Linked DNA regions of Saccharomyces cerevisiae S288C. Changing the gene in region 4 together with the main gene of any one other region gives a genetic interaction. Each region holds a gene or a part of one and is shown on either strand. Other genes may lie near its edges.

Region 1 (5,213 bases), on a different chromosome or scaffold from region 4:
GGCACTGCTGGGGAACGTGAGAATGAGAATGAAAGCAACGTTAAGCCTGAAAACCAATTTAAGGAAGACGAGGTTGATATGTCAGATTCGGATATAAATGGGTCTAATTCACCAAGTTTCTGCCTCTTGGATATTCAAGGCAATACCTGCACGTTATACATTTATTTATACGTTAATGGAGAAGTGAAGGTCGATAAAGTGGTTTATGAAAAGGAATAGGGTAGCCATTTTCATTTTTATGCATTTCTATGATGTCTAAACATTAGATGCATTCGTGAACTTTTTCTTGCAGACGAGATAGATGTAATTAAGATATCCTATCTGCCGGATATTACATATATAAAAAAAGAAAGCTTGCATGCACAGTTTCCTTACTATTCATGCTCACACAATTCTACCGAATTAGCACTGCAGTGTTTAGAACCGTGCTCAAAAAGAGCTAACAGAGCTTGTGAAGAAGCCTGGATGAAAATATACTACGTTTATATAGGTTGATTTAATTATACAATGATATCATTTACGCCTTGCTTAATGATATCCTCTAGTAGATCGCTTTCTAGATCGTCTTCTAGTTTTTCCTCATTCTCTTTCAAACGGCGATGGGTGAAGTTGCTTATCTGCAACTCCTCTAATTTTAAAACCTTCTTCATGGCGTATGCATCTTCACCATCCTGATAGTAGCTTTTCTCGATACTCAACACCTCAAACGCCAATGTGTCCCTGTACAAGTGTAAAGCTGCTCTATTAGATTGTCTCACATGCAAGGAAACATATTCCGCTTGATGAACTTCTCTCAACGCAAATAAAGCTTGTCTCATTAAGTTTTCGGCAATCCCCATCCTTCTATAGGTTCTCATGACACTTAAGGAAGTAATATGACCATTTGGTGGCTCGTTTTGCTGGTCGGGGTCGTCGTTCATCTTCACGAGAACGTATCCAACTAATTTTTCGCCCGGAGCCAAGTATGTTGGATCCAACTTGATTGTCCTGCCGTCATTGGTCCCATCTAAGGTCAATTCCAATTTGTCGTTCTCATCTTGTTCATCACTATCTTCACAGTCCAAAGTGGTGGTAGTAGCAACAAACGAAGCCTCTGGCCACGAGAGAATATGATACATATAATATTTCATCATATAATTTTCGGGTAGGTTATGAAGGTTGGCATTTTGCATACATATAATGTCATTGATTGTCGCTCTGCGAATATTAATAGGCATGGTTGACGAAGTTTTATTTTGGAGCTTGATCGTATGTATTTAGGTTTCCCTTTTCACTTGGCAATTACTCGTTGCTGACAAAAGGTTTCAAACTTTTCAGACGGTGCTTTTTTTTTCTGTTCAAAAAACCAATTGACGCGAGAAAGTGAGGATTGAGCCTAGAGATCAATAAAGACAAATTAGCATTGGATGCAATACTACTAAAGCAAGCGCTTTAAGAGAAAATATTTGTCCTGGAAGTCTCATGGAGATTATACTTTATGAATTCTTTATCTCCGGGCAGAAGGCACTTCAGCGTATCATTTGTTCCATGATATTTTCTGAATAAACTTCAGAATTATAATACACAGTATTTACACATCTAATTTTTGACTACAGTATAATATTCAAGCTTCTTGATTTACCTGCAGTTATGCTTAAATTCACATTTGAATTCTTTAGTATCCGTTTAGCTAGTTAGTACCTTTGCACGGAAATGTATTAATTAGGAGTATATTGAGAAATAGCCGCCGACAAAAAGGAAGTCTCATAAAAGTGTCTAACAGACAATTAGCGCAATAAGAAGAAAGAAAACGGATTGAAGTTGAGTCGAGAATAATTATGGCACCCAGAAAACGCTTTAGGCTACTCGAATTAGGGTCACCAACACATTCTAAAAGGAAAGTTCAAAAACCTCTTCAAGAGAAGACCCCAAACTTGCGAGTTTCTCCACTTGCTTTTAAAATTGGTAAAGAAATCAAGAATAAGGAAATCAGAAAAACAAAAAAAACAGAATCAGAAAATATATTCAATTCGAAACATGTCGATTTAAGACTAGAAAGCCCACATCCAGGATTAAATTTTGTAAGTGATGCTCAACAGTACTCAAAGGCTGGAGATGTTCGATATTTGAAAAATAAATCAAGCAATACCTTGAAAAACGAAAGACAAACAATAGAGCGCCCCTCATTTGATAATTCCTTAAGGTTCGAGGACATTGAGCAGCCTCCAAAATCTACTTCAACGCCGGTTCTTTCTCAATCTTCTCAAATAAATGTAGAAAGAGAAGCACCCATGTTTCCAGTTCCTTACTATATTGCTCCTTCTCCTATGTATAATTTTAGCCCGTATCAAAATTTCGTTGGAAACCCAACGTTCCTGACGCCAAGTCATAACCCAAACCTAAACTATGCCATTCCCATCCAACGGCCGGAGTTGCTTTATCCGAATGTTAACGTATACGATTCGCCATTGTTTAAGAAAACAAGACTGCCCCATCAGACCAAAAGTCTAGATAAAGAAAAAAATTACCAATATCTTCCAATATATCCGGTCTCGATTTCTAATAACGGAGATTTTGTTGGCCAAGAGACACCAAGGGCAGCACCAAAGTTAAGTAAAAAGAGACTTTCAAATACATTGGATGTTAATTGTTCCGATTATGAGTCTAGTGGACAAAATGCAACTTATAATGATAGTGAGTCTTCCCTTAATTAAAAAGATTAGTTTACTTTTTCTGTAGAATGTTAATTAGTTTATTGCATAGAAAATCTTTAATACTGAATGACAAAATTTCCACAATTTTTTTTAAAAAAATTATCGACAACTGCAGGACTCGAACCTGCGCGGGCAAAGCCCAAAAGATTTCTAATCTTTCGCCTTAACCACTCGGCCAAGTTGCCACTTATTATATAAGTCGTAAGCATAATATCAGGATCTTATGCCTTAGTATAAGTCAATTGAAATTGCAATCCTTGTATGTTTTATATTAAATTTTGGGTGAATAATTGGATAATTGTTTGAAATCCATTGTTGAAGAAAGGCTATAATATTCGTACACAGAGTATACTAGAAGTTCTTCTCGAGGGTCTTGGAATCCACAAAAAGGCGTCGATAAATCTCCATAACTATATTACTTTATCCTATTACATTATCAATTCTTGCTTTTAGCTTCTATTGTATTTGATAAAATATTTCGGCTTCTTTTATGTGTATGCGATTGCGTATTACTAAATATAAATTTATATTTCCTGCGACCATTTGTCCGTCAGAAAAGGCTCTCAAAAAAACAACACTACCCTTTTACCGGAAATCACAAACTAAATGTTAAAATAAGAATTTAACATCATCCATTGATTATGAATATTGAGTGAATGATTTAATGATTGTTGCGATTTCCTTGTTGGTGAAGGCTATGATATCAGCTATGCAGAATATACTAGTAGTTATCCACCAGAACATAAGAATCCTCAAAATGTAATTAAAAATCCACTATCGTCTATCAACCAATAATTATACTATCAATATATTATCATATACGGTGTTAGATGATGAAATAAGTTATGAGAAGCTGTCATCGAAGTTAGAGGAAGCTGAAGTGCAAGGATTGATAATGTAATAAGATAATGAAACATATAAAACGGAATGAGGAATAATCGTAATATTAGGTTGTAGAAATATAGATTCCATTTTGAGGATTCCTAAATCCTCGAGGAGAACTTCTAGTATATTGTGTATACCTAATATAATAGCCTTTATCAAAAATGGAATCCCAACAATTATCTCAAAATTCACCTAATTCTCAGAATCTGTATTTCGACATAAGGTTATTATGATTATTTCTCCTTCCGTTCTATATTTTTCATTACCCTATTACATTGTCAATCCTTGCATTTCTGCTTTCATTAGAATTGATGACTGTTTCTCAATGTTTATGCCATCTTCTTACAACTTATTTGACAATAAACTAGTAGCGTGAGTACTAATAAACGGATGATATTTTGAAGTTTCATAACAACAATCAAAATTTGATGTATTTCATTAAAAATTGATTGATTTTGGGTAATGCAAGGATGACGTATTCGATCATGATTTTCAGATCGACCAGTAAGTTCCGGTCCTATAGTGTAGTGGTTATCACTTTCGGTTTTGATCCGGACAACCCCGGTTCGAATCCGGGTAGGACCTTTTTTTGCTAAAATGAACTTGTGTCACAAATTCCGTTCGAAATGGCGGTCCTTTTCCAATAAGTTTTCTTTTTATGGCATTTTTAGCAATTAGAGCTTACTTAACATAATGAATTATCCAAGTCAATAAAAGCAGAAATACGAAAAATTCCCTAAAAAAAGATGCCAAACTCTCATGGTAATGTATTGAATAATATCTCTTTAAATAGCAAGCAAAATCCCAGATCGATTTCTAAAAGTTGCCCAAATGATAAAGATGCAAGGCAGAAAAGCTTCAAAACGATATCAGCCCAAGCACTAGTACGCGTGCAAGGAGCTGGATATAAGCTCGGTGATGTGAAATTAAAGGATGCTGAAGTCAAAGAAAAGAATAGCCTCAAAAAATACGATTGTAAAAATGCAACTCAAGAAAAGAAAGAACAAGAGCAAGTATTTGAAAAAACTGTTGCAAAGGGAAGCGTGCAAAAATATATCACGAAAACTTCAAAGACAAATAGTTTGTTTATAGGAAATCTGAAATCAACTGTCACTGAAGAAATGCTAAGGAAGATATTCAAAAGGTATCAATCTTTTGAATCTGCTAAAGTGTGTCGTGATTTTCTCACCAAAAAATCATTGGGTTATGGCTATTTGAATTTCAAGGATAAAAACGATGCAGAATCTGCAAGGAAAGAATTTAATTATACGGTTTTTTTTGGTCAAGAAGTTAAAATAATGCCATCTATGAAAAATACATTATTTAGAAAAAACATCGGAACAAATGTTTTTTTCTCTAACTTACCACTGGAAAATCCCCAACTGACCACAAGATCATTTTATCTAATAATGATCGAGTACGGAAATGTACTGTCATGTCTTCTAGAAAGAAGAAAAAACATTGGGTTCGTTTATTTCGATAACGATATTTCTGCTAGAAATGTAATCAAAAAATACAATAACCAAGAATTTTTTGGAAATAAAATTATATGTGGATTGCATTTTGACAAAGAAGTAAGAACTAGACCTGAATTTACAAAAAGAAAAAAAATGATTGGCTCCGACATAGTTATCG
Region 2 (6,955 bases), on a different chromosome or scaffold from region 4:
GAAAACCTTTTGTGTACGGATGTTTAGTTAATAATAATGTACAGATGTTAATATGGTTTTTTTTTTTTGATATGAAAACGCCAAAACGCGAAAAAAAAATCCCGTGGCCCTTTTTTCTTAAGTTCATCTCTATGGTTTGCTTTCGTGTTTTGATGAGAATGAACAGCGGCAGTCGACGTAAACTAAAATTCATCAATGGAAACTCTTTCTCTACTTTCATTCATTTAGAATTGAATTATAGCAATCTACTTTACGTACAAAAGTCCATATACATCTGCCACGACACATCAAAGATTAATAATCACAAGAAGGCATGAGCTCGCAATTTCCTTCGTCCCCCTACAGGACAGTGGATCCGTACTCTCCACCAAATTACAAACAGCAGCCTAATTGTCCCTCATCCAATTATGAGAAAGCTGGTAAAACTGCGTCAGAATCAATTGGAAATTTCGGGAAAGGAGATTATCCAACTCCATTTCCTTCTTCCAGTATAGGAAGGGTTTCGTCTCCCGTTAGGTCGAATAAGGTTGACGCCATCCCTTCCTCTCCAGCTTTTCCTGGCCAGTTGGCAGAAACGTCACCCAAGTTTTCTTCCAAACTTTCTTCTCCTTCAAGGCATACTAGAGTCATCAATGCTGAACTAGATCCTAGCAAGATCAGCACCATTACTGTAGGGCGCAATAGTTCGCAATGTGATGTTGCGCTCTGTAAGAATAAGTTCATATCCAGAGTACACGCTAGTATAACTTATTTACCACAAACAAATGAAGTGAAGATTCACTGCTTCAGTATGAACGGATTAATCGTTACCTATCGTAAGCAATTTGATTGTTATCAATTAAAGGATACCATGAATAACAATAATAGGGCATATAGGCTTGTTCCCAGATTCTCTAACGAAAAATGTGTTAAAGAAATTCAAGACGAGGGAGGATTCATTAATTTCACTCTGGAAGAGGGAGACACCGTTTATATGACATATTACAAGGGTATCATGTTGGATTTTAGGCAGGTTTTACTTCGCATTTCGTTAAAAGAAAAAAACTCTTCTTCAGAGCCGTTAAGATTCGAGAAGAAAGCTGAATTTGAAAGTGAAAGTGAAACGAAACATATGGGTAGTATAAGGAAGCATCCATTGATTTTTACTGACACTTCGATGGACAGACCCAAAAAAATACTTAAGGATAGCAACAAAATCTCAATTGGTAGTGATTCTGGCGTTGCAGAAAGGATGCTAAACCACTTCCTAAATTCTAAATCGTCCCCACTTTCATCCGTCTCCTCTGTTGATCACGAGGAACAAACCCTGAGACAAGATTCACTATCATCTGATAAAAATCCTATGACTATGAAGAAACCAAAACTTAACAAGAGGGTCTTACCTTCAAAGCCAAAAAAATCGGTGAAAGAGAATTTGGATGAGCTATCTAGAAGAAATATTGATGTTATGCATCTACAGCATATTTTAACCAATCACCTAGCTTTTGCAAACGTCCAGCAGACGCCATTATTCCAATTACAGCAGGTGAACTCACAAATTTCTGAGCTTTCAAGAGATGAATTACGTTCGATTTTGAGCGACGCGAAATGTGTCGGTGTCATTTACCGTCATGGTAAGGACGCCGCCGGCAAACCATTGGACGAAGAGTATTTCTACGATTTAGAAAACGATGATGATTACGAGAGAAGAAACTTGGTGAGTTCATTAAAAGGTGGAAGGACAGGCTTAAGATCTTGTAGAAGGACACATAAACAATATTTTTGGAAAAAGCCAGCAAAATAGAACATTTTATTCCATCGGATATATGATAAGAACAAGAAAATAAAACATCAAGTGCCTATATATCCCATCTGAGTACGTAAAAATTTTGTAAGAATACAGTTATGTAGTAAAATAAAAGTAAATAAAGCGCTAAAACAAAAAAATAACTTCAAATAAAGTCATAAAAGTTAATGCAATGAAATCACATGCCCTCATGAAGCATGCTTTTTTAAAAAATCTTGCATTTCGTCAGTGTCAATGTCTTGTGGGTCTTCAGAAGATATGGCCTGTAACAAACCATCAAGCATATTGTCAACTTTATTTTCGTCGATTTTCAAACATAAAGATAACACTCTTCTAAATTTATTCTCTAATTCTGATTGTTTGGTGCTGATTGTATCCAATACATTGGTTAGGTGTTTATCATTCCGCTTGTATGCATTTATTCTTGCCTTCAATAAGACCGTTGGTGGAAGCATCGATTGGATTTTTTCTGCGGGAAGTTGATTTCGTATCTGTTCCATTATCTGCTCTTTCGACTCCGCTTCTAATAGTTTGGAAATATCGCCTTCATAATTCTTTTGTAATTTATCCTCCAAGAAATCTGAAAGGAACTCTACTTTGAAGGGTTCATCTGCATCATATTCGCTAGAGTCCCAATCAATACCTGAACTTTCATCTGCAATTATTCCTAGCTTTTTGCTCTCTTCCCTAAAACTTTCCTCTTCTTCTTCAATTCCTGCTTTTAAATTGGTCAATTGCTCTTGCATTAGTGAGTATTCATCTTTCAATTGCTTCACATTTGCTAGTTGTTCTCTAGAATTAGCTAATTCTTCTCGCTGTTCGTTCAATTCCTTGTGTAGTTTTTCTAATTTCTCATTATATTGCACTGTTTCATTCTCATAATCTTTCGAGATTGAATTCAGTAAATTTTGGACATCATTAATTAACGAAGTTGTTTCAGGTGGGTTTTTCAACAGTTGAGACCTTATTTTTTTGGCCTTTCCATTTTTTTGACCGTCGTAATCACCCTTAGAGACCATCTTCGAGTTTTCGTCACCGCCGTTCGTATTTTGTAATTTTGAAGTACCTGCCCCAAAATCCACGGGTCTCAACCCTGATTTGTTTGCAATAAATGGGTCAGCACCGTAATCTAATAAAGCGTCTACTATTGAAATGTTTCCCAATCTTGCTGCAATGTTCAAGCAAGTATCGCCATTAGAGTCCTGCGCATTGAGCATGTTTGCTATTATCCATTTCAGGTCCAAATTTTCTAGTATAGAGTCCTTTCTTTCCCCATTTTTGTCATTCGGTTTGCTTTCTTTTTCGTTAGTACCACTTTGAATGGGTCTATTTTGTTTCTTGACAATCCATCCCATTAAAATATCTAAATAATATTTCGCAGCTGCTGAACAGCCAGTCATACCAGACGTAATAATGATATGGTGCAAAATTGTTCTATTCATTGAGTCTTCCAAAATTAAACATGGATATAAATAATCTAGAAGTGCCTCAAAAGTACCAGAGTCGTAATTATTTACTGATTTGACAGCTTTCACTAGGCATGACTCCCCCATATTATCACCATATAATCTGTTTGAACCATGCTTAACCAGGTGTTTCACTAATTCCAGGTTTGCTATTGAAGTCAGCCAATGTAATGGTGTGTTTCCATGCTCATCTACAGGAATATTAAGATTTAATTGAGTATTAGGAAAAGCGTCGTTTACCTCTTGCAAAAGGCTATCAAATGATACGTGCTGTTGTTGTTGGTTTGAGCTCCCCCCTTCTGAATTTCTATTACTGCTGTCATTATTAAGGGATGTAGGCATTTCTTGAATTTCTGGAAATAACAACCGTTGTAAGAATGCCTCTAGTTTCATCTTCTGTTCATTATCATTTACAACTGGAGAAGGTAGTGCTTTCATGATTTTCAGTGGACTGCTTAAAAAGTCAGAAGTTAGGTCATGAGTGAATGTTATGATAGGTCCAGCGGTTCTGTCATTGTCATCAGTGCCATTATTTTCATTGTCGCCGCTAGGGCCCTTATTAATATCATCGTTAGGCTTGCCTCTGGCAGTATTCGGAGTGGAGTCACTCTCAGCATCTATTACAGAGGTATCTATTTTTAGTTTTTTTAAAGGAGAGCCTAATTCTCTGTGTGCATCAGAATCCAGGCTCATATCTTGTAAATTATTAATCCTCTTTGAGCTGATATTATCCTTAGAATTTTCACTTTTGGTCTTGTTTTCTGGTAGTTTCGAATGGCTGGGATCTTCTTCATCCTGATCTGTTTCAGGCTCCTCAAATTCGAATGCATCCTGGAACAAACCGAATAAATTTAGCATGTTTAATAATTGTAAACATTTTTCCAGCTCTATCCATAACTCACCTCGGTCGTCTGTATTTACAGCAATTCCATAATGTGCCAGTAATTTATTTCTTTCCTCATCAGTGGGGAAACTATCGGGGTTGGTCTCGTTAATATTCCCCGTGTCATGATATTGCTGCAAAATGGGCAGAAAATGTTTCAGGAGGAAATGGCCAGTCTCCGAGTCTCTAGTGAGTGTCAAAGGGATCTCATTGTGAGGTCCTAAGTATCGTACCACTTCTTCCAACGCCATCCTCTCGAGAATTATACTGTGTTCCCCTTTATTATTCTTTTTTTTTTAGCTATTGCTTAGTTCATATTGATGTTTCTCAATCGTGTTTTTTGTTGTTTTTTTTTATTATTATGAAATCGTTGGAGAAGGAAACTAAAAAAAAAAACTAAGATTTGGTGAATGATCTTATCCAAACGGTCCAGATGAAGACAAAAAAAGGAACAATAAGCTTTCTTATTTTATTTGATTCAATTTTTAGAAACTAATTGTCCACATTTTAAATAAATTCTATGGCTAGTAACGCTGCAAGGGTTGTCGCTACAGCGAAGGATTTTGACAAAGTTGGGTTAGGGATCATCGGATACTATCTTCAGTTATATGCGGTGGAATTGATACTGAGTGAAGAAGATCGGTCGCAAGAGATGACCGCACTAGCGACAGAACTTCTTGATACTATTGAAGCGTTTAAGAAGGAGATTGGCGGCGAGAGTGAAGCAGAAGACAGTGACAAAAGCTTACACGTTATGAACACGCTAATACATGATCAAGAAAAAGCCAAAATTTATATGCTAAATTTTACAATGTCGTTGTATAACGAGAAACTGAAACAGCTAAAAGATGGTCCCTGGGATGTTATGTTAAAAAGATCACTTTGGTGTTGTATTGATTTATTTTCATGCATTTTACACCTGTGGAAGGAAAATATAAGTGAAACGAGTACAAATTCATTACAAAAACGAATTAAGTATTGCAAAATTTATTTGAGTAAATTGGCAAAGGGTGAAATTGGTTCCAGCGACGAGAAAACGTTAGATTATGCAGATTTTGCGGATGATAGCGAGGAGATTAAGGATGAAGATGTTGATCACCAGACAAGCGATTTGGAAAACAATAATAATGATAAAGTCGAAGGCCTAGCCCCAAAAGACCAAACAACATCATACGAGCCTGTGGATGAGGTACCTGAATTTATTGATGATGCCGATAGCGTAAACGAAGAAGAACAGACCGTCGACAAGAACGAAGATGCAATAACAAAAGACGAACAACAAGTTGTGAAGAAAGAAGTGGATCTTACGCGCCCTTCTGCACCATCAGAACCTGCTGCAGCAGAGCATAAATCGTATACAAAGGATGAGTTGACAAAAATTATGGACAGGGCCAGTAAAATAGAGCAAATTCAAAAACTTGCCAAATACGCCATAAGCGCATTGAATTATGAAGACCTGCCCACCGCCAAAGATGAGTTAACTAAGGCGTTGGATCTGTTAAATTCTATTTGAATAAGATAAAGTTTGGTTTGTTGATCCGTTGAAGGAGGTATATATTAATATTAGTAGTTACGTATTAAATGTTAGAAAGGAAAAGGAATCCTGTATAATGCAAAATGAAATCGATACAAATTTGATTTGAGAAAAATGAGTCTATATCAAGAATATGATGGTATTGCGTCCCTGCATCAAATACGGTATAATGTACATGTTGACTTGTGTTGAGCAAATGAAAACATGGGAGGTTGAAGGCAGAAAAAAGTCCAAAAGGAAAAAAGCTTAGAACTTCAAAGTCTTAGGCTTTTCCCATGGGTATTCTTGGTTTGTGAAATGGCCATAAGAAGCGGTTGGCAAGTAGATTGGTCTAGCTAAGTCCAACTCCTTGACCAATACACCAGGTCTCAAGTCAAAGTTCTTGCTGATAATGTCGATAATTTCTTCGTCAGACTTGGTCGCAGTACCATAGGTGTCAACGTGCAAGGACAATGGTTCCGCAATACCGATGGCATAAGAAAATTGAACTTGAACTCTCTTACATAAACCAGCGGCAACTAGGGACTTGGCAACCCATCTAGCGGCATAAGCGGCAGAACGATCAACCTTAGAGTAGTCCTTACCGGAGAAGGCACCACCACCGACGGATGAGGCACCACCGTAAGCGTCGACGATGATCTTTCTACCGGTCAAACCAGCGTCACCTTGAGGACCACCGATGACGAATCTACCGGAAGGTTGGATAAAGTATTTGGTGTTTTCGTCCAACATGTCTCTTGGGATGACTTTTTCAATGATCTCGGACTTTAGTTGCGCTCTTAAGTCCTCGGTCGTGATTTCGTCAGCATGTTGAGCGGAGACGACGACGGTGTCGATTCTTTGTGGAACCCATCTACCGTGGTCATCCTTGTATTCGACGGTGACTTGAGTCTTGGTGTCTGGTCTCAACCACGCTAAAGAGCCATCTCTTCTCGCGTCAGCCATGGCCATGTTTAGTTTATGAGCCAAAAGAATAGTCAAAGGCAAACCCTCTGGAGTTTCATCTGTGGCGTAACCAAACATGATACCTTGGTCACCGGCACCGATGTCTTCCAAATCCTTCTCCTCGTGGACACCTTGGGCGATATCTGGAGATTGTTGCTCAATGGCGACAAGGACGTTACAGGTCTTATAGTCGAAACCCTTGGCGGAATCATCGTAACCAATCTTCTTGATGGTGTCTCTGACGATTTTTTGGTAATCCAACTGTGCCTTGGTAGTAATTTCACCAAAGACCATAATCATACCAGTCTTTGCCGCGGTTTCACACGCAACTTTGGAGTGAG
Region 3 (6,144 bases), on a different chromosome or scaffold from region 4:
TATTCCATTGGAAGTGCGTTTGGTAAATGATACTCTCCAGTGCTTTTAAGCTTGCCCTTAAATCTTGTCTTCTTTGCGCCTTCTCGTACAGTTGTAGTGATTTTGTTAACGGCACGGCTATTTCTTTGAACTTGTAATCGCTTTGTTTACTTGTGAGTGTGGTCGTCAATGCTACCTTGGTTATTTGATGAAGCGGCGTAGACTCTATGACCGGCAGTAATAAGGCGTTAACCTGGGACGCCATTGTTGCTCCAAGTTCGCAATCGCTGTTCTGATAGAAGGCCTTTGTATGCTTGCTTTATGTCCGCCGCGATGGGGATTCTTCCTATTTTTCTACTGAAGGTGCGAAAGACTTCATTCTTCACCGCATTCAGTAAATGAATTTCATATATATACATATATACAGGTAGGATAACTTATGAAAAAAAAAAAAAAATAGAATAAAAAGTTATTGATGCCATCATTGGATACAGCAGTACGAACTTCTTGCTTTCTGATGCGCTGAATCCTGTGCTTCTGGCTTGAACGGCCTTATCCCTTCTGGAAGATCGTCCGTGTGAATGATCCGGAAATTTGATATAGTTTCGTTGTTAGTCAGGTTGCTGTCATCTTCAGTATTTACAGTCGCATGTGAGGCACAAGATGAAGATGACGGCAGATTCGTTTTTATTGCTAGTAGTTCTGATTTTTCATTGAACCAGTTATCTGGTGGAAATTCAATATGAACGAAAACATACAGATCGCCGCACCGGCCATGAGGGTTATCTAAAATGGGCCAACCTTCATTGGCGATTTTGATGGTGTCACCAGGTCTTACTACTCTGCCAGGTTTAACGCTCAATGTTAGTAACCTGTCGTCGAAGGTTTTTGTCAAAAATTTCTCAAATCCCGTCAAGGCCTCGCTTAACGATATGGTAATGCTTGTATACAAATCTTCCCCGGCGCCGTCGTCAAAGTTCTTCAAAAAGATTTGCTTCTGCTCCAAGTTTTCTTGTTTTTCAGTGAGATGGAACTTTAAATCACCACATGTGGTCTTATCGATTTCCTCGTCCGCCATCCCCTTGACTGTAATTACGTCGTTAAAGTGGTGTCCCGGAGCCACGTTCACTGTGATGATTTCCTTCTTTGACAGGAGCCCCAAGCCTGCGCAATCGGGGCAAAAGTTCTTTGGATTCTTGGGTCTTTTAGTGTACTTCCCCTTACCATTACATTTCTCACAGACCACCCATTGCGAAGCTACCAAACCGGGACCAAACCTCTTCAGACGTTCCTTTGAACCCTTTCCAGCGCATGATTCACATTCCACATCGTGTGTAACGTGAATTTTCCTCTTTGGTTTCCAGCCAGAACCGTGGCACTTTATACAGATGACCTGTCTCTTTAAATCAAACTTCAGCTTCTTGCCCATGTACAAATCCTTCAAAGTAAGAGATATATCGATATCGATATCCTTAGAGCTTGTAGAGTTGCCCTCTTCGTACGCATCATACTCGCCAGGGAAATTATTTCCATCGTGACTTCCATTATTGAAGAAATTGTTAAAGAAGTTCATAAAATCTTCATCTCCAAAGCCATTAGCGCCACCGCTGCTAGCGGCACCATTATCATCACCATACAAGTCGTAATGTGATTTCTTCTCCGGATCGCTCAAGATCTCGTAAGCGGCAGTGATCTCTTTGAATTTGATTTCATTTACCTCCTTTGAGTCTTGATCCACATACTTGTCCGGATGATGTTTCAGGGCAAGCTTTCTGTAAGCAGTTTTAATCTCTTGCACGGTCGCATCTCTCGTCACCCCCAACACATCGTATAACCGGTCTCCTCTATCACTGCCACTCATTCAAAACTACACCTGCGTACTTACTTTTCCCTTTCTTTTGGGTCCAAGCGGCATATCTCTTAAGATAAGATAAGCCTGACTCTTTCTTTGCCTCTCTGCCTTTCTTTCTTCTTCCCTTCTGCAGAGGATGGCTCGTCGCTACTCAAATCCCGACCCAAGAAACAAAGAAACAAGGATTGCACAGCAGAGCGCTGCCCCACACACATATATGCATATGTTTATTTACCGCATATTCGTGGCTATATAATCCATATATAATACACAGCACATTCATGATATAATCTTACATAGTAGCACTTCCCATTAGACGTTTTCTGCTTTTACAGTACTGGTTTTTTTTTCACTCTTGCGTCTTTTTTTTTTTTCATTCTGAAGGGGTCCAAGCCTAACGATTTTCGACCTTTCGTTGAGACAACTTCACGTACTCTTCTGACCTGCTGTGGTTGACGTATTTAGAGTTTGCTGCGCCCTTTGTAAACGATCGTGACCCGCGGACCATACTAGGAAAAGCTCTTCCGTTACTACTACTGCTTTCTCGCTATTTTACTCTAGTTGTTCATACTAGTCACACGTTGCTCGAGAACAGGACCAGCTTCTTTGTTTCTCCCCCGCATTTAATTGTTTCTGCTTCTCAATTGAACGCATATAAATATATTTCCCCAGTCTTTATTTTGCTCTCTCCACGATGTTATCACTGTCTGCCAAAAATCACTTCACAGTGAGTAATTCTATAACTCACGTTATTAAGTCATATCATATAAGGACTCTCACTTCAAGCGCAGAAAAAATGCCACATATCACTACTCCTTTTTCTACCTCAGCCAGTAGTACAAAGTTAAAAGCTTTCAGGAAAGTTAGACCCGTCCTACAGAGACATAGCTCTTCCTGGATTGTTGCTCAAAATCATAGACGTTCATTATCTGGTCAATCTTCGCTAAACGACCTGCGTCATTTGAATCGCTTTCCACACCACACGTTGAAAACTTCGAATAACGAGTTTTATCCCGCCGAACAATTGACTTTGGAAGACGTAAATGAAAATGTCTTGAAGGCTAAGTACGCCGTTAGAGGTGCCATCCCAATGAGAGCTGAAGAATTGAAAGCTCAACTGGAGAAGGATCCTCAATCTCTGCCATTTGACAGGATTATCAACGCCAATATTGGTAATCCTCAGCAACTACAACAGAAACCTCTGACTTACTACAGACAGGTCTTGTCTCTCTTACAATACCCAGAACTATTAAACCAAAACGAACAGCAGCTAGTTGATTCGAAATTGTTTAAACTAGATGCCATTAAACGTGCAAAGAGTTTAATGGAAGATATCGGTGGTTCTGTTGGTGCTTACTCTTCTTCTCAAGGTGTAGAAGGTATAAGGAAAAGTGTCGCTGAATTTATAACGAAGAGGGACGAAGGCGAGATATCATACCCAGAGGATATTTTCCTAACTGCTGGTGCATCCGCAGCTGTCAATTACTTGTTATCAATTTTCTGTAGAGGGCCAGAAACGGGTGTCTTGATTCCAATTCCTCAATATCCATTATATACCGCTACTCTAGCTTTGAACAATTCTCAAGCTTTACCATACTATTTAGATGAGAATTCAGGTTGGTCAACTAATCCAGAAGAAATTGAAACTGTCGTCAAAGAGGCTATACAGAACGAAATCAAACCTACAGTTCTAGTGGTTATCAATCCAGGTAATCCTACAGGAGCTGTCCTATCACCTGAGTCTATAGCTCAGATTTTTGAAGTCGCAGCCAAGTACGGTACAGTAGTGATAGCTGACGAAGTTTATCAAGAAAATATCTTCCCGGGCACCAAGTTCCATTCTATGAAGAAAATTTTGAGACATTTACAGAGGGAACATCCAGGTAAATTCGATAATGTTCAGCTAGCTTCTTTGCATTCGACTTCTAAGGGTGTTTCTGGTGAATGTGGTCAAAGGGGTGGCTACATGGAACTCACTGGATTCAGCCATGAGATGAGACAAGTTATCTTGAAACTAGCCTCGATTTCATTGTGTCCCGTTGTCACAGGTCAAGCTTTGGTTGATTTGATGGTTCGTCCACCAGTGGAAGGGGAGGAATCATTCGAGTCGGACCAAGCAGAACGTAACTCCATCCATGAAAAGTTAATTACAAGAGCAATGACACTGTATGAGACATTTAACTCTTTAGAAGGCATTGAATGTCAAAAGCCTCAAGGTGCCATGTATTTATTCCCTAAGATAGACTTACCTTTCAAGGCAGTTCAAGAAGCTCGCCACTTAGAGTTAACTCCGGATGAATTTTATTGTAAGAAGTTGTTAGAATCTACTGGCATTTGCACTGTTCCCGGTTCTGGGTTTGGTCAAGAACCTGGTACTTACCATTTAAGAACAACATTTTTGGCACCTGGTCTGGAATGGATTAAGAAATGGGAAAGTTTCCATAAAGAATTTTTTGACCAATACCGTGACTGAATAAAAGGGGGCAGAACAGTCTTCAATAAACATTTAAATAGCTAGTTTATTATAATAATGTGATCGTTTCTTTCTTCCACAACTCACATATAGTTATTTGATATTATCGCATCTTCGCTTCTCTATGCCATGTTTCCATCAATACTTATGTTTTATTTAATACATATTTGTATCAGTATATCATATCATTTCATCTTCTTTTGCTTCGATTTGTAATGTTTGTGCGTATAAAATCAATTGCGTAGTTCGAACACCCGTTAATCCTTTACTTCTTACCAATGGCACCTAACTTTGCTTTTCTTTCGACCTTACTACGACAGATTTAGATTCAAACGATGACGCTAATATCAATAGCCAACATGGAAGCCAACCTATACAAAGTACAAACCAACTCCAACATTTCAAATCCAACCATGCTGAAACCAGTTTGTTTATTATATCAAATCCATGAAATTCATCATCAAAAAATAGTCCGAATAAGGTTATTGAAATAAATGGATTTGTCAAAATTAATAGTACTAAATTTTTTAGTTTTTGTTTCTGTTGTTGGGGGGTTGCTGGCGTTGTATCCATGTGATTCTCGACGAGCTCTATCTCATCTTTCGGCTCAGTTTTTATTGGGTTAGAGGATTGAGTTGTCACCTCATGTTCGCTAGAACTTTCAACAATGGTCTTCACAAATGTCATAGGAAATGCCAATGTGCCGATCAGTAAAGCCATTGCAAAGTTTATCATTAGCAAAGATGTTGAAACCAAACTGAAATATAAAAAAGCAACATTTTTCAACCTGTATGATAGTGGTTCTGAGATGTGAATTTTTCTGGAAAGTATCAAAGGTAAAAAACAAGATGCCATGCTAATTGTCATCAATAATCCCGATGAAGGTATTAGAAGAAACGCTTGTGAAACAACAAATGATATCACCAATGACACGAACCAAACCAACAACGCTACCAAATTATACTCGGAAAATAAGGATATATTTGCATAAGCATTGTTTATAAATGCATTTAATGAACTTATGGCGAATGCTATAGATAAAGCCACAGCGCTTGGCAAATAACTACTAATGGATACGAACTGACGTGGTGCTAATAACAAATAAAAGAAGAACGATTGGTGAAATTTTTCCAAAAGGTTATTAATAGAGCGAAACATTGCTTCGGGTATACGTCCAAATGTAGTAATATCATGACCACTGTTTCCATGTGCTTTCAATGTTACAGATTGAATCCTCCAGCCGCTAAATGCCTCGTTACCATGGGGCTTTTTAACACCGGACAACGCCCAATCCCTTATTCCCAGGCATAATATTTTTAATCTTGACCAGAAATTATTATTAGTTAACTGATCACTGGGTAGACCGTGCAAAGAAACTTTCATACCTTCATGTTCCGTAATGGATATAGCGATGTTGACAAGATCCAAATTGGGCAGCTCACCATTCAGACCGTCGTATGAGATTTCTACATACTCGAAGAAATCTTCCGTACTCGAATAATCCAACACAACAGCAGCTTCAATGGAACCACCAGTCAAATCTAAGGAAGTATGGTATGCCTCAACCCATGATCTTAATGCTGCACGAGGATTTTCGCTGAAGACAACAATTATATTCTTGGACCATACTGGCCAACGTGAGAAAAATCTTGCTAAAGATACACCCAAAGCTGCGCCGCCAATATTGAATTCATCATCTGAATTAAACCATGGAACGGCAAGCACCATCGCTTCTGTTCCATCACCCCTAGGAGCGTGCATTACACCGTACAATGTTTCTCCATATTGTTCATTTTCGTAAATAGCAGTCTTAGTACCAAATTCTTGTAACCAAGAACCC
Region 4 (6,027 bases):
TTAACCTTATTTATATCAGAGTTAGATGGCTTTTCGTAATGTATGTTAAAAACATCGTTTAGTTTTAGCCAATTCGGAAGCCTTTCTTTTGGCCTACTATTAAGTTTCTTTTTAAGAGCTGTCTTGGGAACTTTTTTTTTAGCTTTTTCAACAGATAATTGCGTGGCTAGCGTTGTTCTTTTAGTGTTAGCAACAATGTTTTGTATAAAAGCCGCCGGTGTATGCACGTACCTCTTACACAGTTGTTCCATTGCCAATGGTTTCCTATTTCGCTAAAATATTAGGGAATATGTGAAGAAAAAATCTTCAGAAATACCTTGTTCAGACCCACATTAAAACGCTTGATTATATGCATATTTACCGGCTGCCGACTTTCATTAAAAAAATTGCGAATACAGAATTTTTTTTTTCACAATAATTACAATTTTTAGCACGATTCAGATGTCTATTTGCTTTCTCTAATTTCATCTACACATCTACGTATATATGGCACCTTATTATCAGTTGTCATCAAAGAGATTACCCACAGCACCGTCTTCAATGTTCGGATCATCCAGCATGTCTCCGTTTTCTTTATTCTTCTTAATTAATCTCTCATTTGCCTTCTTGAGGATAGCTTCCCTTTTCTCTTGTCTTTTTCTCTCATCGCCTGCATGGTCCACATTACCATCTTCTTTCCCACTGGTGGATTTAACCCAATCTATAAAATCAATCATGAGTGCCCTTTGTGTTTTGTATTCGTCCACGCTCCTTAAATTTCTGTATAACTCATCAATATTATAACCATTAGATATCTCAAAAAGGAACGCTCTAGCAGAGGGATATTCTTTGCACAGAGTCAAAAAAATCACAGTGAAAGCATATAGTGCCTCATGGAAAGAATCCTTAAACGCACTATTACACAGCACATTTAGCAACAGATTTTTCATCACTTCAAATGTGAAATATTCATCCACCGTGTTGTTTTGATTAAGGACTGAGGTTAAGCAGCATTTCATTACTAGGATGGAGTTAAATGAACATTTTGTATCCTTGAAGGAAATTAAATGGTTCAAAAGTTTCAAAAATGGAGCAAGGGTGTTTAAATCATTAAATATAATTTTTCTCATCTCCATTTGATGGTTATTTAGCCTGCTTTTAGCACTGTTTGGATTGGCATTGCCTTGACCAACACAATCAATTACTATTCTAACAACAACTGTGGTTAGTTGTCTCAACAAATTCTCTTCCAAAATTTCTTCAGTCATTTGATCATCGTCAGTTGGAACTGGGTTCATGTCCATATCATTCATATGCGAGGACCATTTCTGACATAGCAGCAGGTCCAGGATTTCAAATAATTTAGGCAAAAATGCGGGCATGAATTTCCCCAGACAATCTTTTGGACAACCTTTTAATATAGGACGAATGGCTATATTCATTATGTGTTTCCATCCATGTGTTGAAACTCCAGGGCTTATCTCATTGCTACCTGGCTTAAATATGGCAATAGAGTTCAGTAGTAGGTCGGGCGATTCGTCCAAAAGGTAAAAAACACTACCAAGTGATGATATGGCACTTAAAACAAGTAGAGTGTATTCCCTTGTATACCTAATGATGTGTCCTACGGAGTCGGCGAAGTCTCGTAAGGTTTGCATCGCTTTCATATGTTCATCAATAAACTCATCCTTTGATTTATTTGAAGCTCCGGCCTCCCAAAATCTTTCAATAGTGGAATACTTGACGAAGGATTGCACAACCGTAGGTAATCCTTTCCAATTATCTGGATCGTGGTAGGATTGCAATTGGTACAGTAGTCTCGTGATGTAAGGTAATATTGGGACAATCCTAGGTCTCCACAGATCTTGTAGCATTTTGAATTCTTCATCTGTCTTTATACTTTGCATTGAATAATGAATGAACATTCTTGTTGCACGAACAGGAAACAAGCTTTGCCAACGTTTGGTCAATTCCGACTTCAGCTCTTTACCCTCATCATCAATTGGAATTGATAAAAGGTCACTATTTTCGTCGATATCACGCCTCTGGAAATATTCTGCGATCTGAACAATACCTAAGCGTTCCATAAACCAATGCAAATCAGAAAGACCAACAACTGTTGTTTTATCAGACCAGGCTAAAAGTTCTGGATCCACAATAGCCGCAAATCTTTCCTCTTTCATATCTAATGAAGACTTCAATACAATGATCAATAAGAAGGATTTGAAGGAAATTTTTTCATGGTAAGATAAGTTGGGCATGATTCTGGCAATGACACTTTCAAGGTCTGGGTATATTTTTTTCAGAGATTCGGGCATTAATAAAGCCATCCTATTCAACTCGATACCACAAGCATATCTCAAATCTCTAACTGCGTCTGATTCAGCGCCTCTCTCTTCCAAATTAATTTCTGGATAGTCCATCGTGGCGCTTGTTATGATTTTTTCTAAAAGTGTGAAAAGCACATTATCTTTTAACATTGTCAAAAAAAGTGCAAAATTTTGGATTTGTTTCTTCAATAACAATGGTTCTCTTAAATTTAATGCAATTAACTGGTTTGACAAAATTTCCAGTTTTTGTAATATGGAATCTAGTTTTTCGTCATAATCATCTCCTGTTGGATACCAGATCTTCCATCTTATACAACCATTGATGAAACATTCAACAATCATGTATTGGGAGAGGGCACCTAAATAAGGCTCTAATTTATGGTCCAAAAATGTGGAACTTAAGACCTGCTGACCAAATGGAGAGCTGAAATAATTGTTTAATCTGTTGTTCAACCAATCATAAGTAAGGTCTAATTCGACGCAAGAAATCAACCTAATGATGTCTCTTATTCTTTTCCTATAAGTGGAACAAAATGTTTGAAATTCGGACTTGGATTGAAAATCAATCTCCGCAAATTTTTTGGAAATATGACCATCAATCTGTTCATAATAGACTAAAGCATCCGCGGCAAACTGTAGTAGATCAGGAATGACATATTTCTCCAGCTTGGGTAAGTATTCATCGTTTCGAAGACAGGTACACCATAGGTCTAATGTTAATCCGCTAACGATTAAGCTTGGGTTATAAGTTGTCTTTAATACAAGCTTAAAATATTTTTGAATTTGGCCATTTGTCTCCTTAATCTTTGGGACACAAACATAGAGACAACTGATCATATCCACGAACTTTTTAATTATAGGATATTTCGTTTCATCTATATCATCTGTAGGATCAAACAACAAGCTTTCATAAACGCTATCTAATAAGTCCATATTATCAAAAACTCGATCTATGGTCATTTGGTAATGGCTTTCATTACTATAGGGACGGGTCAACAGAATATGTATCGAGTCTAATGCCATTGACTGCGCCCTTGGGATATTGCTGGATAAACAAGTCAATAAGGAGGATAACACGTCATTTCTTACAATGACCTCTGTTAATGGCCAGTTTAAACACGTCTTCAGAGTTTCTAAAAGCCTTATGATGTATTCAGAATTATTCTGTTGTAATGCATTATTCAACTCTGGAATCCAAACAGAAAACCAGCCCTCTTCATTAGCTTTAAATTTGGTCCATTTATCACTGAATTTGTATTTTATTGCGAAAACTTCAATAGGGCAAACAATCATTACACATAAGGGTTGAATAACCGTCATCCTTTTCAAAACAATTAGGTCGTCCAACAAGAAAACATCTTCAAAAAGGATTCTGAAAATTATTAATGCTAGTTCTCTTGACGATTGATTTATGTTCCAAAGTTCGAAAAGGTTATTGTCCATGTCCACCCAAGATGTGAGTAACTGTTCTTCCGTAGGGTTTGTCTGCTTAAGAGCCTCACCCCATGTTCTTTTTGCCACCTCTACCCATAAAGTGGCTAATTTTTCCTTAATATATCTGGTATCATAATCTTGCACCCCAAAATTAAGTTCCATGACCCATTTTCTCAGGGCCACTCTTTTCCCCTCGTCATAATCATTCCAGTTTTTCTTCACTGCATGGTCTAGTAATCCTAGTCCAAAGTATTTCAATATAGAATTAGTGGGGTTTTGCAATGCAATTTCGTAGCCCCAAAAGGGCGATTCTGAGCATAATTTCACTTCATCTAAAAATTTCTGAGCTTCTTGCCGTTGAGAATTGTTAGACTTGGGGGAGTAAATAACATCTAGTGCGCTAACAATCTGAGAAGCGCCTGTGGAATCCATTACTTTTCTTCCAATCAACGTTAGAAAAAAAATTTCAGATTCTAAAAATTCAAAAAGTGATTAAAAGGAAGAAAACAAAATATACTATAAATAATTTCAATAGTTTATCACAGTAACAATTGCTACACGAATGTAAAGAGTGAATATGGTTTTTAATGGCTAATGCAATGACACCTTACGTTCTCGCCTTGTTTATTTTTCTGTTTTGCTCTTCTTCCGATCTACAAAACTTGAACGGTTGCAACAAATAGGGGGATCTAATCAGGGTGTACTTAAAAGAACGGCTCTTCTACAGGCTCAACGAATAAAGATAGGCTAAAAACACACACGCTCGTCACTCCAGCACCTCTGTTCAATGGAATCTTGCTCTTAAAACTCTTTGACAAATATTACTACATCAAAAGCTTAGTACTCTTGAAGTCTCTTTGGAAAAACCAACCTTGATCGCGCAGCAATGTGGCAATGCCCCTCCGCTGTGGCGCGCCGCCATCACCCGGTAAATAGAAATTGGTGACCAAGGAACAATGCCATGGTGAGTACATTACCATAAAAACCAAGAGGCGATAGTGTTGTCGGAAATAATAATACAATTTGTTGATTCATTATGGCTATATATCATTAAAATATTCACAATAGGTATATAGTCCGATTTGGACAACTAAGGCAGCGGTGAAGAGTAGAACCTGGTCCTTCAATAATAATAACCGTTGGCAATAAACCTGATCATGTACTCGTCAACATGGGCAGTGCCCTCATACTCATCAAGTTCAGCATGATTTTCTTCCTCTTCATTAGCTGCTTTTTTTTCTGTGCTTTCGTCGAAATCGTCATTGTCAATTTCGACTTCTCTCATGGCTAAGTTTGCAGCTTTAACATCATCCTCATCTTCCGCTTGCGCAAGAAGTCTTTCCAGTTGTCTGGGATCTTTGGCTGCCACATCTGCATCTGCTATTAGTGGTTTATCTCCACCTGAAGCATTTTCGGGCAATTCGGATCCCAATAAATCTCTCACCGAAAGTTTGCTGAAATAATCTGTTGTGAAGTCACCCTCTTGAATAACAACATTATCCAATTGTCTTTTTTGGTTGGCTTTTTTTAAGATATTGCTTTCTATGGTATGTTCGCTGACAAATCTGTAAATATGCACATCTCGAGTCTGTCCAATTCTGTGACATCTATCTTGACACTGTTTGTCCATGGCTGGATTCCAATCTGAATCGTAAAAAATAACTGTATCTGCCCCAGTCAGATTGATACCTAGCCCTCCTGATCTACTTGATAGGATAAATACCGTTATTCTTGAGTCAGTGTTGAATCTCTCTGTTAGGATTTGACGGTCTTCGATCTTTGTGGCACCATCTAGTCTCATATACAAATAACCATGATAGTTTAAAAACTGTTCCAGAACGTCCAAAACTTTTGTCATTTGTGTGAAGATAAGTGCCCTATGTCCATTGTCCTTCAGCTGCTGTAATAAAATTGCTAACTTCTGCAATTTACCACAATCGTATTGAAGCAGCGATTTGTCCGGGAATGCGATTGTTAATTTGGTTTGCAGTTGGTGTAATGGGTTGGATACTTCAAAACAGTTCTGCATTACCTTTAGCCTTGTGTTTTCGCCTACCGAACTGTCATCATTTAATCCCAATGCCAACTTTCTCATATCTAGTGAGACGGCACTTGGGGTTAACACTGCAAAGGTATCTATGATCTTTCTATTATCCAATACCCTGGTTTGCAAGGGTTTTATTAGTTCATTATCAATAATGCTTGATTTATCATATTTAACCCTTCTATCTTTCGTTAATAGGTCAATAAGGTTCTTTCCGAATATGGGTCTTCTGTCGCATCT

Evidence for each region.
Region 1: mutations in MSN5 (region 4) and ARD1 together harm fitness more than expected from each alone (negative genetic interaction), as found in Saccharomyces cerevisiae (3 studies listed by BioGRID).
Region 2: mutations in MSN5 (region 4) and SWI6 are lethal when combined (synthetic lethality), as found in Saccharomyces cerevisiae (4 studies listed by BioGRID, with this or other methods).
Region 3: mutations in MSN5 (region 4) and ALT1 impair growth when combined (synthetic growth defect), as found in Saccharomyces cerevisiae (2 studies listed by BioGRID, with this or other methods).

Annotation. Positions count from the first base shown.
Region 1 is NC_001140.6:130,230-135,442, forward strand, and holds ARD1 (peptide alpha-N-acetyltransferase complex A subunit ARD1), read right to left. Parts: upstream 1,218-5,213; coding exon 501-1,217; downstream 1-500. Other genes in the region: retromer subunit VPS29, read left to right, coding at 1-219; SPO13 (Spo13p), read left to right, coding at 1,818-2,693; MIP6 (Mip6p), read left to right, coding at 4,325-5,213. UniProt on the Saccharomyces cerevisiae protein: Catalytic component of the NatA N-terminal acetyltransferase, which catalyzes acetylation of proteins beginning with Met-Ser, Met-Gly and Met-Ala.
Region 2 is NC_001144.5:515,371-522,325, reverse strand, and holds SWI6 (transcriptional regulator SWI6), read right to left. Parts: upstream 4,387-6,955; coding exon 1,975-4,386; downstream 1-1,974. Other genes in the region: TOS4 (Tos4p), read left to right, coding at 314-1,783; VTA1 (Vta1p), read left to right, coding at 4,656-5,648; methionine adenosyltransferase SAM1, read right to left, coding at 5,916-6,955. UniProt on the Saccharomyces cerevisiae protein: Part of a complex involved in cell-cycle-dependent transcription. SWI4 and SWI6 are required for formation of the cell-cycle box factor-DNA complex. The repeated element in the upstream region of HO (5'-CACGAAAA-3') is called the cell cycle box (CCB).
Region 3 is NC_001144.5:316,397-322,540, reverse strand, and holds ALT1 (alanine transaminase ALT1), read left to right. Parts: upstream 1-2,525; coding exon 2,526-4,304; downstream 4,305-6,144. Other genes in the region: GEP5 (Gep5p), read right to left, coding at 1-244; XDJ1 (Xdj1p), read right to left, coding at 461-1,840; GPI-anchor transamidase subunit GAA1, read right to left, coding at 4,590-6,144. UniProt on the Saccharomyces cerevisiae protein: Alanine aminotransferase involved in both alanine biosynthesis and utilization. Under respiratory conditions, constitutes the sole pathway for alanine biosynthesis and catabolism.
Region 4 is NC_001136.10:1,139,316-1,145,342, reverse strand, and holds MSN5 (karyopherin MSN5), read right to left. Parts: upstream 4,176-6,027; coding exon 501-4,175; downstream 1-500. Other genes in the region: translation initiation/elongation factor MRX8, read right to left, coding at 1-251; chromatin-remodeling protein SWR1, read right to left, coding at 4,867-6,027.